Callithrix jacchus: one gene and its partners. The protein of the gene in region 2 purifies or fractionates together with the protein of the main gene of each other region. This does not show direct contact. Links are inferred from orthologs where the notes say so. Each region holds a gene or a part of one and is shown on either strand. Other genes may lie near its edges.

Region 1 (3,933 bases), on a different chromosome or scaffold from region 2:
AGCAGTTACTGTCTTATCCACCTAATTACCAGAAAGACAACAAAATGAATAATGTGAGCTGTCATCTCTTCACAGACTATGCCAATCAGCACTACATTCCACAGCAGGCAAAGTCAAGAGAGGTTAAGAATCTTCCCATAAAAATTAGAGATGCTGCTAAGAATGTTTCTGAGCCAAATGTTGATGGCACCTATTTCAATTTACTTATCTAAAAACAATGTACAAACACAAAAATGCATCACCATTTATTTCTATGTGGAATTTATATAACAAAGAAACCCTTATATGGAGCTCAGAGCTTTCATGTGACGATTCTATATGTCTAATCATCTATCGCTCCTTTCACGTAAATTCAGAGTAAAAAATAAAAACAAGGCATAAATTACAAAAGAAACTTAAGGCTGTATTTCAGAAACGTAACTTTTAAAACTGTTCTTACATTTCTTGGACAATAAACACAAAATCATCTTGAATTTTTAATAGTCTTGGCTTCAAGGAAATCCCTCAGGAAAGATTTCTGAAAAAATTATATATCCAAATTTTGCATTATTAAATGCTTTCTTACCTTCTGCTACATCATCATCTACTGCTCCTTTCACCTGAGAAAAACACCACTGAATATCATTCCCTCCTCCAGCTCCTGGAAAGAAAACATACCAATTAAAACTGAGTTCTGCTCATGTTGACTCTCGTAAACAATCCACGGTTGGCATGATCATGACACTAACAGCTTAGTTTTGCCCACACATACAACCACCACCAAAAGCACCACTTTGGAAAAAGGTTAGTCCCCAATAGTTAGTACTGTATTAAAAAGAAAAAAAGGTTCCAGGTATGAAATCTTTAAAGGCGTATGTTCTGTGGTCATCATACATCTGTTCACAAACTTCCCTTCCTCTCAAATATCTTAAAAGGCTTACACTCAGGCAAGACCTACCAGAAAAGTGTAAATACCAAGAGTTAAAGAGTTTTCTTTTTAAGTGTACAAAAAACCTGCAGAAGAGTTAATAAGGTTAAACTACCATGAAACATAGAACGGAGAGAAAACTTCGGGAACATTACTGCCTGGGTGAGGAGTAATGATTCATATGAACCCTATCACCAAAGTGCACACACAGCAAACACTACACCCATTTCTTTGCATTCATTACCAGCAAATCACTGGCTCCAGACAGAGAGGAAAAGAAACCAAAATGAATGCTGCTAAAGAGACTGTCAAAGGAAGCCTGTTCTGCCTCCCTTCACCTCAGCCCTCCACTCCGAAGGACCTGGCAAATAATTCATTTCGCTAGTATGTCATCTCGTGCAAAACAATTTTAATCTCATTTCATCATTAAACACGGCCAACAAGCAACTTGTTTTATAGCAAACCGTAAGTCAATCCGACACGTTAACTTTTTCAAATGGTTTAATTCTCTAAGTAATGAATACAGCACGGTAAACTGGTCTAATCTCGGAATGTTTCTATTTCACGTGCAAGTACTGAGAACGAAATGGTGAAAACGTCCTGAGACTCTAGGGAGAAAGACACTGAATCTAAATCTGGAACCCATTCTACTACATGAAGGAAAAGACTTAGCAACACCAACATGTACAAAAAGAATTCTCAAAGCAATTACATTACTTCTCTCTCCCCTGTCACCCCTATTCCTTGCTAAATTTATTTCCAAACTGGTTTTCTCTCTACATCCTTTCCCCCCCCCTCCAAAGCTTCTACCTAAATCTCTCTCCTCTTTGCTATTTATATCTCTGAACTCCGCAACTATTTTAACTAACTCTACCAAACCCTTTTGGGAAAAGGACATCTGCAAAAAAGCTAACATGTTAAACGGAAAGTTGAAATTATGTTTTTCATGCAACTTGCTGTACATGAAAGGCCTTGCACTCTTCGGTGGTAAGAGGGAAAGAAACGGAAAGGAAATGGTTTGAAACAAAAAATTTAGGCTTCCAATCTCAAAAATATTGGCATCCACAGTGGGGGAAAAAAAAGACACATATGGCCCCACTGCATTTTAACTTGTAAGGCGCTCTTCTTTCTCAGTGCAAAATAATGTGTATATACACCCAAGAAGGTTTGCAGCAGGGGGGGAAATAGAAATTAAATGAAGACCTGCAGGATAAAATGAAAATAAAGACGGGGGGCGAGGTAGGAGAGGATCCACCCGGCTCCCGAGCGGGAGAGACAAATCTGCACGCGCCCCCACCCCGCCCCACCCACGCCTCACCCCAAGCTCGCCGGCACACCCCACCCCCACCCCCGCCACGGCGCCAGCTCCGTTCTCCAAGCCCAGTGGCTCTCGCCGCGACCACTCGCCTCCCCGGAGTCCTCCCCGCCTCCACCCCACCCCCCTGGACCCCACTCCCTCAAACCCGAGGGGCGCCCCGTGGCTCCGCGCAAGGCGCGGGCGGTCGCTAGGGGGTGATGGAGGGAGGAAGAAGGAAACGGTGCCTTGTCAGGGGGCAAGGGGAATTTCTCCTTTACCTGCCATGTTGCGCTGCAAATGGTGACCCTGCGGGGTTCCTCGGGGTCTCCGCTTCCTGAACTCACCCCCCTCACCTGGGGATGGGGGGGTAGAGAGGGCGGATGGCGGCGGATGGCACCTGCGGGGGGAGGGGACAGGGGCTGGGGGAAAAGGAAGGAGGGGCGGGCAGAGCAGCCGGCAGGATGCTAGATTTCACTCTAGGGCTTCCCCGCTCGTGCTCTTTCTCCGGCAGCGGCGGCGGCGGCTACGACAGCGACGGCGGCGGCGGCAGCGGCAGGGGCAGGCGACTCCACTTTCAAAATGGCGCCGGCTGGCCTGGTCAGTGACGTCACCAAGGGGGCGGAGCCGCCGGGCTGGGCGGAGAGCAGAGGGGGAGGGGCGGGGGAGAGGCCGGGCGGGCTCCTGACCACGCCCCCTTCCTGCTGCGCTCTTGCCCCGCCCTCCGCGTCCTGGCCGGTGCGGCCTGTGACGCGCCCGCGTCTCGCGGTGGCGCCCCCTCTGCCCGTTCCTCCTGCGCCGGGCCGCGGCTGTCTGCGCCTCGCGGTGTCCCAGCCCCTCGCGCTAGCGCCGGGGCTCTGGGGCGGGCTCAGCTGTCCAGTTAACGTGCTCGTCTGCAGGAATTCTTGGGGTCTTGTGCCTTTTTTGAGAATACCCGTATTGCTACTTAGGAAAGTGTCGCTTTGCGCCAGCCCTGACTCCACAAAGGAAGGGACAGCAGTGCAGACTCGCTGCTCAGCCGGGATGAAAGTTCACGGGGTTCAGAGGGACACGCTTGGGCTGGTTCCATCTGGGTGAATTAAATGACCTTCGCGTGGGCCCCAGGAACCAAGACGGGAGTCCTGGGCACTGCGGCCACTAAGGGTGGTTTCTAACAGAAACCTGAGTTTGCGATGAGAAGGGTATGGCCCGAGAAGTAGCTTGGGTCTCTCCAGCTAAATAAACAATGGTGGAATCCGTGCTTAAGAGCTGGGCTCAGGGTGGGGCGCGGTGGCTCAGGCCTGTAGTGCCAGCACTTTGGAAGCCAGAGGCGGGAGGATCACTTGAGGCCAGGAGTTCCAAGTTCAGCCTGGAGAACATAGGGAGACCCATCTCTACCAAAAAAAGAAATAATTTTTTTTTTTTTTTTTAATTAGCCAGGTATGATGGCGTGCCTATAGTTTCAGCTACCAGGAGGCTGCGGTGGGAGAACTGCTTGAGCCCAGCAGGTCAAGACTGCAGTGAGCTGTCAGCCTGGGCGACAGAATGCATTCCTTTCAAATCTAAACCAAACCAAAAAAAAAAGCTGGGCTCTGAAGCCAGGCTGTCTAATGTGATTCCAAGGCTCAGCAGATGAAGATGACAGTCCTACCTGATAGGATTGTTGGTGAGATGAAATGACTTAATTTGAGCACATGATAAATGTTAGTTGCCGTTATTATTAGATTTGTATTGAAAGCATCGTCAGTAAGGT
Region 2 (4,035 bases):
TAGGTTCTATGGATTCTTTTAAAAAATTCAATGTGTTAGAATCCATTTCTATCATTATTTATTCTTGGTTCTCAAATTGTCTCAGATTTGGTAAGGGTGGGCACCTTCAAGACATCTCCTTTCTTTTGACATCTCTTCCTCGACATAGCAAAGAAACCTCCCTGCTTTAAGGCACAGGGTCTTTCAAGGGCATTTTGTATTTTCCCTGTCTCTGCCCTCGAATCAGCCTTCTCGCCACGGAGTCTGACTCCTTTATGTGAAGAATGGTATTTAGAAACCAAGATATGAAGGCACATAATATATTTCAAAATATTAAAGTGTCACTGTCCCTGTTTCCTTGGGTCATATTTGGAAGCGTGGTGTGATTTATAATTCTGCCTCTAGCATTCGCTGTGTGACCTTGGCAATTCCCTTTATTCCTTGCGGTCTGCTTCGTCCTCTGGAGAAAAAAAAAATTGGATTACAGAAATATTTCTTAACCTTTTCAGGGTCACCAACACGTTTGGGAATCTGATAGAAGCTACGAGTCCATCTCTGCAGAGACATGCTCACATAAGCAAAAACTGGCCTGTGCTGTAGGGAGTTCCAGACTTGGAAGCTCATTTGAGGCTCCAAATCTCTGGATTGAGTGATCTCCAAGGTCTCTTCAGCGCTGACATATATAGTGAGTCTATAAGCGACCGTACTGCTGTCAGAATGACTCCTAGGAGACATCAAAGCGTGGAGGGGTTTATTATAGATAGAAGCGAGATGAGAAAAGGATACAAAGGAAACAGCCTGTGAGCAACGCATTGCTCAGCCACAGTTCTTTGCCGGTGCCAAATTTAGGGCTGGCTGTCCTTGTAGGTGAGAGGTTTTGGCGGGAAGGTCCCCGGGTGGGCAGAGAACGCCGGGATGGGGAAGGAGACCTCAGGCCGCATCCAGGTCTCTGCACCGCTCTGCACGGTCCGCCAGGGCTCGCTCTTGCCCTTCGCCTGGAAGGCCGAGGAATGGAGCGGGCCGGGCGGCGACCCCGCCCCTGGCAGCGGCGAGGCGGAGAGGCGAGAGGAGGGCGTCTGAGCCCGGAAGGAGTGCGCCGGTCCGGCCCGCGCCCCTCCCCGCGCGCCTCCCCCCACTCTCCCCATCCCGTCGCCGACCACGGCGGTGCTCTGGTCGCCATGGTGACCAATCCAGGCCCGGGCCCGCCCCCGTCCCCCTTCCCCGGCCCCCTGACGTCGGCGCACGTCAGCGGCGGCGCGCGCCTGGCTGGGCCCTGCGGAGCGGGAGGGAAGGAGCGAAGGAGCAAGCGGAGCGGCCGTCGCCCCAGCCGAGAAGCGCTGCCAGCCCTCCCGCCCGCCCGCCCGCGCTCCTGTCCGCCGTGTCTAGCAGCGGGGCCCAGCATGGTCATGGCGGATGGCCCGAGGCACTTGCAGCGCGGGCCGGTCCGGGTGGGGTTCTACGACATCGAGGGCACGCTGGGCAAGGGCAACTTCGCTGTGGTGAAGCTGGCGCGGCACCGGATCACCAAGACGGAGGTGCGGCCCGGGGCTCGGCGGGAGCGTCGGAGGCGAGGGTTCGGGAGAGGAGCTGCTTACAGAGAGGGGCGGCCGCAGTGGTGGGACCGGGGAGACCCGAGAGGCCGCGCCACTGACGGAGGCGAGTGGGCCTGGGACTGTGAGGACCCAGGAGGTGCAGGGGGTCGGTGAGCAGCGAAGGGATTGGGCCCGGGCACCCGGACCCCAGTGTCTCCACTGGAAGCGCGATCAGCCAGGGCTTTGCTTTTCCCTACGCCGCCCGCGGTGGCCACCCGGAATTTCGCCCAGAGCCCCCAGTCGGGCCGTGACCTGGTCTGTGGCCTCCGCTCCGGAGCCCAAGTTCCGCGTCTTCCCTGCTTTCGGCTGGGGGTGGGGTGGGAGGGGAAGTCTCGGTGTTCCCAGGCTGCGCCGTGAGAGACGTCGCCGGCCCGAGGAGGGGACCGCCTGTGCTTGGGCTCCGCAGATGGGGGATCGTGCGGCCCCCGTGACCCCGGCGCCCCTCCCCTGCCTGGCGAGGAAGGGCCCCGTGGCTGGGAATGTCCGCGCGGCCACTGTCCATCTTCTCTCCTTCCTTTTGCCCCACGGTGTCTCTGATTTGGTGTCTGGCTAGCTTGATCTCTTGCCTGGGGCATTTCCATTTAATGCTCCAGACAATAGAACTGGTTAAAATGGTCATCTCTGCACTTGCACAGAAAGTGGGTTGATTTTTCCTGTCTAGGGTTGTCCCTGTACCAGGTGTGCATTCTGGCTGTAATACGCATTCTTTAAACCACATCAGATGCTGCCTCTACTCATAAAGCCCTCAGCTGCTTCCTGACGGTGAATCCTGCACTCTCTTCATTGCACATTCTAATGCACCGCACATATTCTCTCACAAGTCTCTGTTCTTACCTAACCCGCCCCCCTTCCTTCCACTGCCTCAAGCTGCTCTCCTCAGGGTCTCTATTTTAAGACGTGCAAATTAAATACCTTAGAAGAACAGTGGAAACAAAACCATTCTTTAGAATAAACCTAGTCGTTTTGACGTACTCTACTCTGCCTTATTGTAGTTCCTCCTGGAGTTTCATCCTTTTCCTGTTTTGTTTTTTTTTTCCACCCCAGTTTTGGTCCTATTCTGCTCTTTCCCTTATTAGGTTGAATGTACTAGAGTTTGAATGTAGAGTAAAGTAGGACTTTTTTTCAGAATGACTTATATAAGGCGAAGGGCACTTGCAAACCTGAGTAATTTTTATAGTTGTAGTTGTACTCAGAAGTCTTGCTTAATGCCATTTCCAGAAGGAAGGGGTATATGTCATTCTGTCTTCTTTACTTTTTGTCTTCCTCTGCTGATCCTGAAGCAGTCCAAATCTGACTTATCTTTTAGAATCAGGACCAAGGTCAGATATTTTCTTCTCACAGATTTACCTGTTAGCAATTTAGATTCTTTGTAATGATAATGGTAACTTGACTATAGTGATATTGATAAATCTTATCATAGTTTAATCTGATCCCAGTATTTTTTAAAATGAAGAAATGGGTTCCATTCCTCTGCAGAGCCATGGCCTAATGCCATGGCATTTCCCTTTAAGTTACATAAAAGAAGGCATTTTAAATGCACATTTTATGAGCCCTTGCTTAATATCTTTCAGAAAGCAAACAAATTGTGAGTTATAGAGAGATCCTACAAAACTTTTGAACTGTAGTATATTGTGTGGTTGAATTCCAAATCCATCAGTTCACAATATTTTTTTCTCATCGACTTTTACTGGGATTAGTAGCAAGATTTAATTAAGTTATCTATTATTTATCAAGTCAAATTTAGTTAATACAGTATCTATTTAAGAGCTGCATAAGTAGAATGACTGACGCTTTCTCTTGAGATTGACAATTCAAATGGTGTCCCTTTTAAACTGATATATCTTAAAGAGCTAGGGGGCACTATGAAGTAATATCGTGGTTTGGTTATCCGAGTGAGATCAGTGCATTCATTTGTAATTGAAAGCACTGGTCAGAGCGTGAAAGAGGACTTAGATCCTAAATCGTGTGTGTAGTATCTGTGTGAATTGACTAACTGTTTAGTCCACAGAACCCATTTCCCTTGTGCTTTTCTAAAGAAGTTCTTAACATATAAAAAGAAATAGTGTGAATTTGACTTGGGTGAGTGTATCTGTAATTTGGTGGGTATGATTGGAGATACTAAGGTAGAGAGGGATAAGTAAAATGTCAAAGCAATCGCTGAACGGAAAAGTTCTGTAGATCTCTAGGTTGTAAAGTTGCTCTGAATTTTTTTTTTTAAGACGGAGTCTCGCTCTTGTTGCCCAGACTGGAGTGCAATGGTGTGATCTCCCCTCACTGCAACCTCTGCCTCCCTGGTTCAAGTGATTCTCCTGCCTCAGCCTCCCAAGTAGCTGGGATTACAAGTGCGCATCACCACACCTGGCTAATTTTTTGTGTGTGTTTTTGGTAGAGACGGGGTTTCACCACGTTGGCCAGGCTCCTTTCGAACTCCTGACCTCAAGTGATCTGCCTGCCTCAGCTTTCC
Region 3 (4,048 bases), on a different chromosome or scaffold from region 2:
TAGGGTGCAGCTCAGGGGCCTAGAACTGGGCCACCATGCGGTGGAGTGGCCTGACCTTTCTCCTGAGGCCTGTGGCACTCTTTCCTTCCCTCTAATTTCCTTCTTCTGCTCCCTGGAGAGTCCCTCCTTAGCCATCCCAGCTTCTCTCCCTTCTTGAGAGGGGAGGGGAGGAGAAGGAGGAGTAGGGGGTTAAGTGTGTCCCTGTTGTTCTTTGCTTGCCCTTTGTGCACGCTGGCATCCTGGGGTGCTGTGCTCATAAGGTTGAGGCAGCTGAGAGATCCCAAGAGGGCCAGCGGCCCCTGGTGCCTCAGGATCACCCGGGGAGCACGCGCTCTCACGCTCTCTCCTCTGTCCCTGGACGGGCTTCTCTGACCCTGACCCTTCCCGCGGGACGTCCAGTCTCCTCCTGTGGGAGTGGCGGATTGCTCTCCCTCCTTCGTCTGTTGCACGTGGAAGGTCGGAGAGCACGCCGGTGAAGCTCCCGCCCCTGCTCATGGCATTGATTGCTGTCCCCTTCGGATCCCGGGGCGCGGGTAGGCGACCCCGGCTCCCAGCAGGGCGGGCCTGGGGAAGGGCAGGACGTAAAGGGGCTCAGAGCAGAACCCGAGTCCGGAGCGGAGCCCCGCTTTGGCCGCTTACTCCGGCTGAGCCCTTCCCCTTTTCCGGTCTCCGTTTCTCCTGGATAAAATGGGCATCGCTGTGAGGCAGGCGGCCCTCGCGCGGTGACGGCTGGCAGAGGCGGCCAACGCGGGACCAGTGGGTGGGGTAGAAAGGGACGCTTCGGTCCGCGGCGACAGCCCCAGCGCCAGCACTCACACCCCGCCCGGCGCCCTGCCCCGCGCCCCGGGATCCACGCCGTGCGATCAGCGTCCCGGGATCCTCGCCCCGCGCCCACCCTCGGCGCCCGGAGCCGCACCCCGCGCCCCGCACCCGCGCTCCGGGCGGAGCCTCCTGGGCGCGCCTCCCCGCCCGCCCGCCCGCGCAGGGAGCCGAGCCCGGAGGAGGCGGAGGAGGAGCGGCCGCCGCGCCCGGCCCCCCGCAGCCGCCCGGAGGACGCCCGTCGCGGTCGCAGCCTGCGGAGCCGCCCATGGCCCAGCAGCAGGGTTAGCCTCGCCGCGCGCCCCCGCCCCCCGCCCCCCGCCCCGGGCCCGCGCTCACGCGCCCTTGCTGTTTTGCCAGCTGACCGCGCCCCCGCCGCGCCCGCCGCGCCCGCCGCCGACCAGGGCTCCTGGTGCCTGTGCCAGCTCAATGGGGCCGCCGACCTCGAAGTTTCCGAAGGTAAGCGCGGGCTGCAGGGCGCCCGGCCCCGCCGCTCCAGAGCCGCCCGGCGCCCCCATGCGCCTCGCCCCCAGCCCCGCAGGACCTCACCCTGCCTGGGGACGCGGCCCTCGGGTGCGGGACTCCGGCGACGGGAGGAGAGGGCGCGTCTTCGCGGGTGAGAAGCGGGGCTCGGAGAGCGCGGGTGCCGACCCCGGTGCGGTCCTGGGGCAGGGCGGGCTCTGCTGGGGTCGGAAGTGCCCAGGTCCCTCGGGAGTCCGTGCTCTCGGGTCCGGAGGGAACCCAACAGAGCCGGCTTGGAACCCTGTCTCCAGCACTCGTCCGCTGCGCGAGCTCGGGCAGATCGCTCCACCGGTGTCAGCCACGGCGTCTCGGCCGAGAATCGGCGCGCAGAGCCCCCGTCGCTCCTCCGCTAGAGGTGCGGGCGCGGGTCCGCGCTGAGTTGGGGGTAAGACCCAACGCCGCGGAGTTCAGTCCCGGTCGCGGGTTCCATCCGCCATCCAGCCGCGTCTACGCGCTCCTCGCGCTGCCCCAGCCGGTGGGTGCTGAGTCAGGCCCGGCTGCTGCTCCGGTTTGGAGAAGCTTTTTTTTTTTTTTTCCCCAGCTGGCAGGGGACAGCCCATGACAGTGGCTCGCCCAGAGCCCGAAGAGCGTTGGTGGGATGGACAGCTGGTCCCGCACCCTGGGGGGTGACCTGGGCTGGCTTTTCTGCGGAGGGTCCCAGGGACAGGGGCCACTCACTCTGTGGCCCCAGAGGCTGCCCCTCCTGGATTGAATCCTGGGTCCACCCTGACTGGCCGCGTGGCCTTCAGCTAGTGGCTTACTCTCTCAGGGCCTCAGTTTCTCTTCTGTGAAATGGAGATGACGTTGCTCAGAGGGCAAGTTGGGCTGGTGAGGCCCCAGGAATCTGTTTTCACTCTTCTCCTTCTTCTTCCCTTCAGGGGCCCAGTGAGGTGGGTGATGGAAGGTACAGAGGGCTGGTGGACCTGGGCAGGGTGTTGGCCTCTGCCACTTTATATAACAAACACACTCTGTTCCAAGAGCTTTCAAATATCCACCTCCCACCACATCATCCCCATCATAGGATAAGGAAACTGAGGCACAGAGAAGTTAAGTAACTTTCCCGAGGCCACACAGCTGCCAGTGGCAGAGCTCCAGAGGCTTCTTCAGGGTGGGTCCTCCTTGGCCTGTGCTTGTAGTGTCACAGGAAGACATCACAGGGACACTGTCAGGAAAGTGGAGGGGAGGGCTGTGGCAGGGAGTGGGGCCTGTTGGCCGCAGGTGAGCTCCTCGGCCAGCTCTCAGTGCTCCCACAATCTGCTGCAGCCGCCTCCTCGGTCTCATTGTCCCCCACGCTCTGACCACGCCCTGGCTGCCTGCTCATGCTCAGCTCCCTCCAGGCCCCTGAAGTGTCTGTTTGCCACCTCCCTGCTGTGGAGCAGGGGTTTCCTCCCACCTGGGTTGCCTTCTCTGTCCCAGCTGTCCCCACCTCTGGGAATAGCCTCACTTCTTGAGGGCAGGGACTCATCCTGTCATGCCTGCAGGACACTGACTGTGCTTGGCAAATCGAGGCTTCTCAGTGTGGAATTGTTGAGTGTTGATTAGAGAGTGCGTGAGTGAGTGGATGAGTGAATGCCACATGGCCTTTCTCTGCTTTTCAGAAAAGGGGTAGGCAGGCTTACTATAGAACCCTCACCACTCCTCTTAGGACTCTCCAGAGCCTGCCTGGGGCTGGCAAGGGGTCACAGATCTTCGGCCTGGGAGTCAGTCCCTGGGTTCTAAACCCCAGTGTGTGTGTGTGTTTGTGTATGAATCTGTGGCTGTGTCTGTGTGTGCATCTGTGTGTGTATCCAAGTGTGTCTGTGTATGTCTGTGTATCTCCATGTCTGTGTAGGTGTGTCTGTGTGTGTTTGTGTGTCTCTCTGCATGTGTCACCATTAAACTCTTCTTGGAATTTAAAAAATTGAAAAATGAATGCATGATCAGATGCATCTTGGAAAAACGCAAAACAATACGGACACGGTCGGGGTAAAAGGTGCAAGTCCTCCCCTATCCCCACCTCCTTCCGACCCAGGACCAGCTACCTAATTTGTGAGGCTCAGTGCAAAGTGAAAATGCGGGGCCCTGTGTTCCGAAAGTAGGGGGAAGTGTGGTGAAAAGCACTCACTTTCTTCTGCGCTTTCTCTCCACCTGTCATGGTGGTTTTATTTCCTATGTAACGCCGTGTTCCTTTGGGCATAGGGATGCTTGCAGGCTGAGTGCAGATGCTTACAAGATACCTTCTTCTGGCCAGGGTCAGGGAAGGTAGTGTGGAGTCAGGAATCTCCCCTTCCCGCAGGTCTGCAGGCCCATGCCCTAACCCACCATAGGTGGGTAGCCCACAGGGTGTTGCAGCCTCAGGTCTGAGACACAACTGGTACCTGTCGTTCCTGCTGAACTGCCCATCCAACACACAGTGGTACTGCCAGCCCAGGGAAGGGTGGTCACTGCCATGCCTCACCCCAGCATGATACCTAGACCCAGGTCCTCGCCAGGGGGGGAGGGCAGCAGCAACACTGGGACAAAGAGGAGGAAGGGCGGGGTCCAGGGTGCTGGAGGCCGGGGAGGTGGCAGGAAGCAGGAACACACACTCCATAGGCACAGCACAGGCTCTGCTGTCCATCAGACATCGCTTAGGAAACACACACTCATAGATAAAGCGATTAGGAATTTTGTGACTCTGCAGAGCACGAAACCCCACGCTCCAGCCCCTTCCAACTCTGAGGTCTGT

Evidence for each region. The genes of interacting proteins can lie anywhere in the genome.
Region 1: the proteins of SIK2 (region 2) and PPP2R2A purify together in Homo sapiens (affinity purification with mass spectrometry; 3 studies listed by BioGRID and IntAct, with this or other methods). This does not show direct contact. The link is inferred for Callithrix jacchus from reciprocal best matches to the Homo sapiens genes SIK2 and PPP2R2A.
Region 3: the proteins of SIK2 (region 2) and PPP2R2C purify together in Homo sapiens (affinity purification with mass spectrometry; 3 studies listed by BioGRID and IntAct, counting the BioPlex papers as one, with this or other methods). This does not show direct contact. The link is inferred for Callithrix jacchus from reciprocal best matches to the Homo sapiens genes SIK2 and PPP2R2C.

The regions. Positions count from the first base shown.
Region 1 is NC_133514.1:15,258,894-15,262,826, forward strand, and holds the start of PPP2R2A (serine/threonine-protein phosphatase 2A 55 kDa regulatory subunit B alpha isoform), read right to left. Parts: upstream 2,801-3,933; 5' UTR 2,490-2,800; coding exon 2,483-2,489; intron 641-2,482; coding exon 566-640; intron 1-565. UniProt on the Homo sapiens protein: Substrate-recognition subunit of protein phosphatase 2A (PP2A) that plays a key role in cell cycle by controlling mitosis entry and exit. Involved in chromosome clustering during late mitosis by mediating dephosphorylation of MKI67.
Region 2 is NC_133511.1:11,304,730-11,308,764, forward strand, and holds the start of SIK2 (serine/threonine-protein kinase SIK2), read left to right. Parts: upstream 1-1,235; 5' UTR 1,236-1,379; coding exon 1,380-1,514; intron 1,515-4,035. UniProt on the Homo sapiens protein: Serine/threonine-protein kinase that plays a role in many biological processes such as fatty acid oxidation, autophagy, immune response or glucose metabolism.
Region 3 is NC_133504.1:186,790,556-186,794,603, reverse strand, and holds the start of PPP2R2C (protein phosphatase 2, regulatory subunit B, gamma), read left to right. Parts: upstream 1-1,248; coding exon 1,249-1,435; intron 1,436-4,048. UniProt on the Homo sapiens protein: The B regulatory subunit might modulate substrate selectivity and catalytic activity, and might also direct the localization of the catalytic enzyme to a particular subcellular compartment.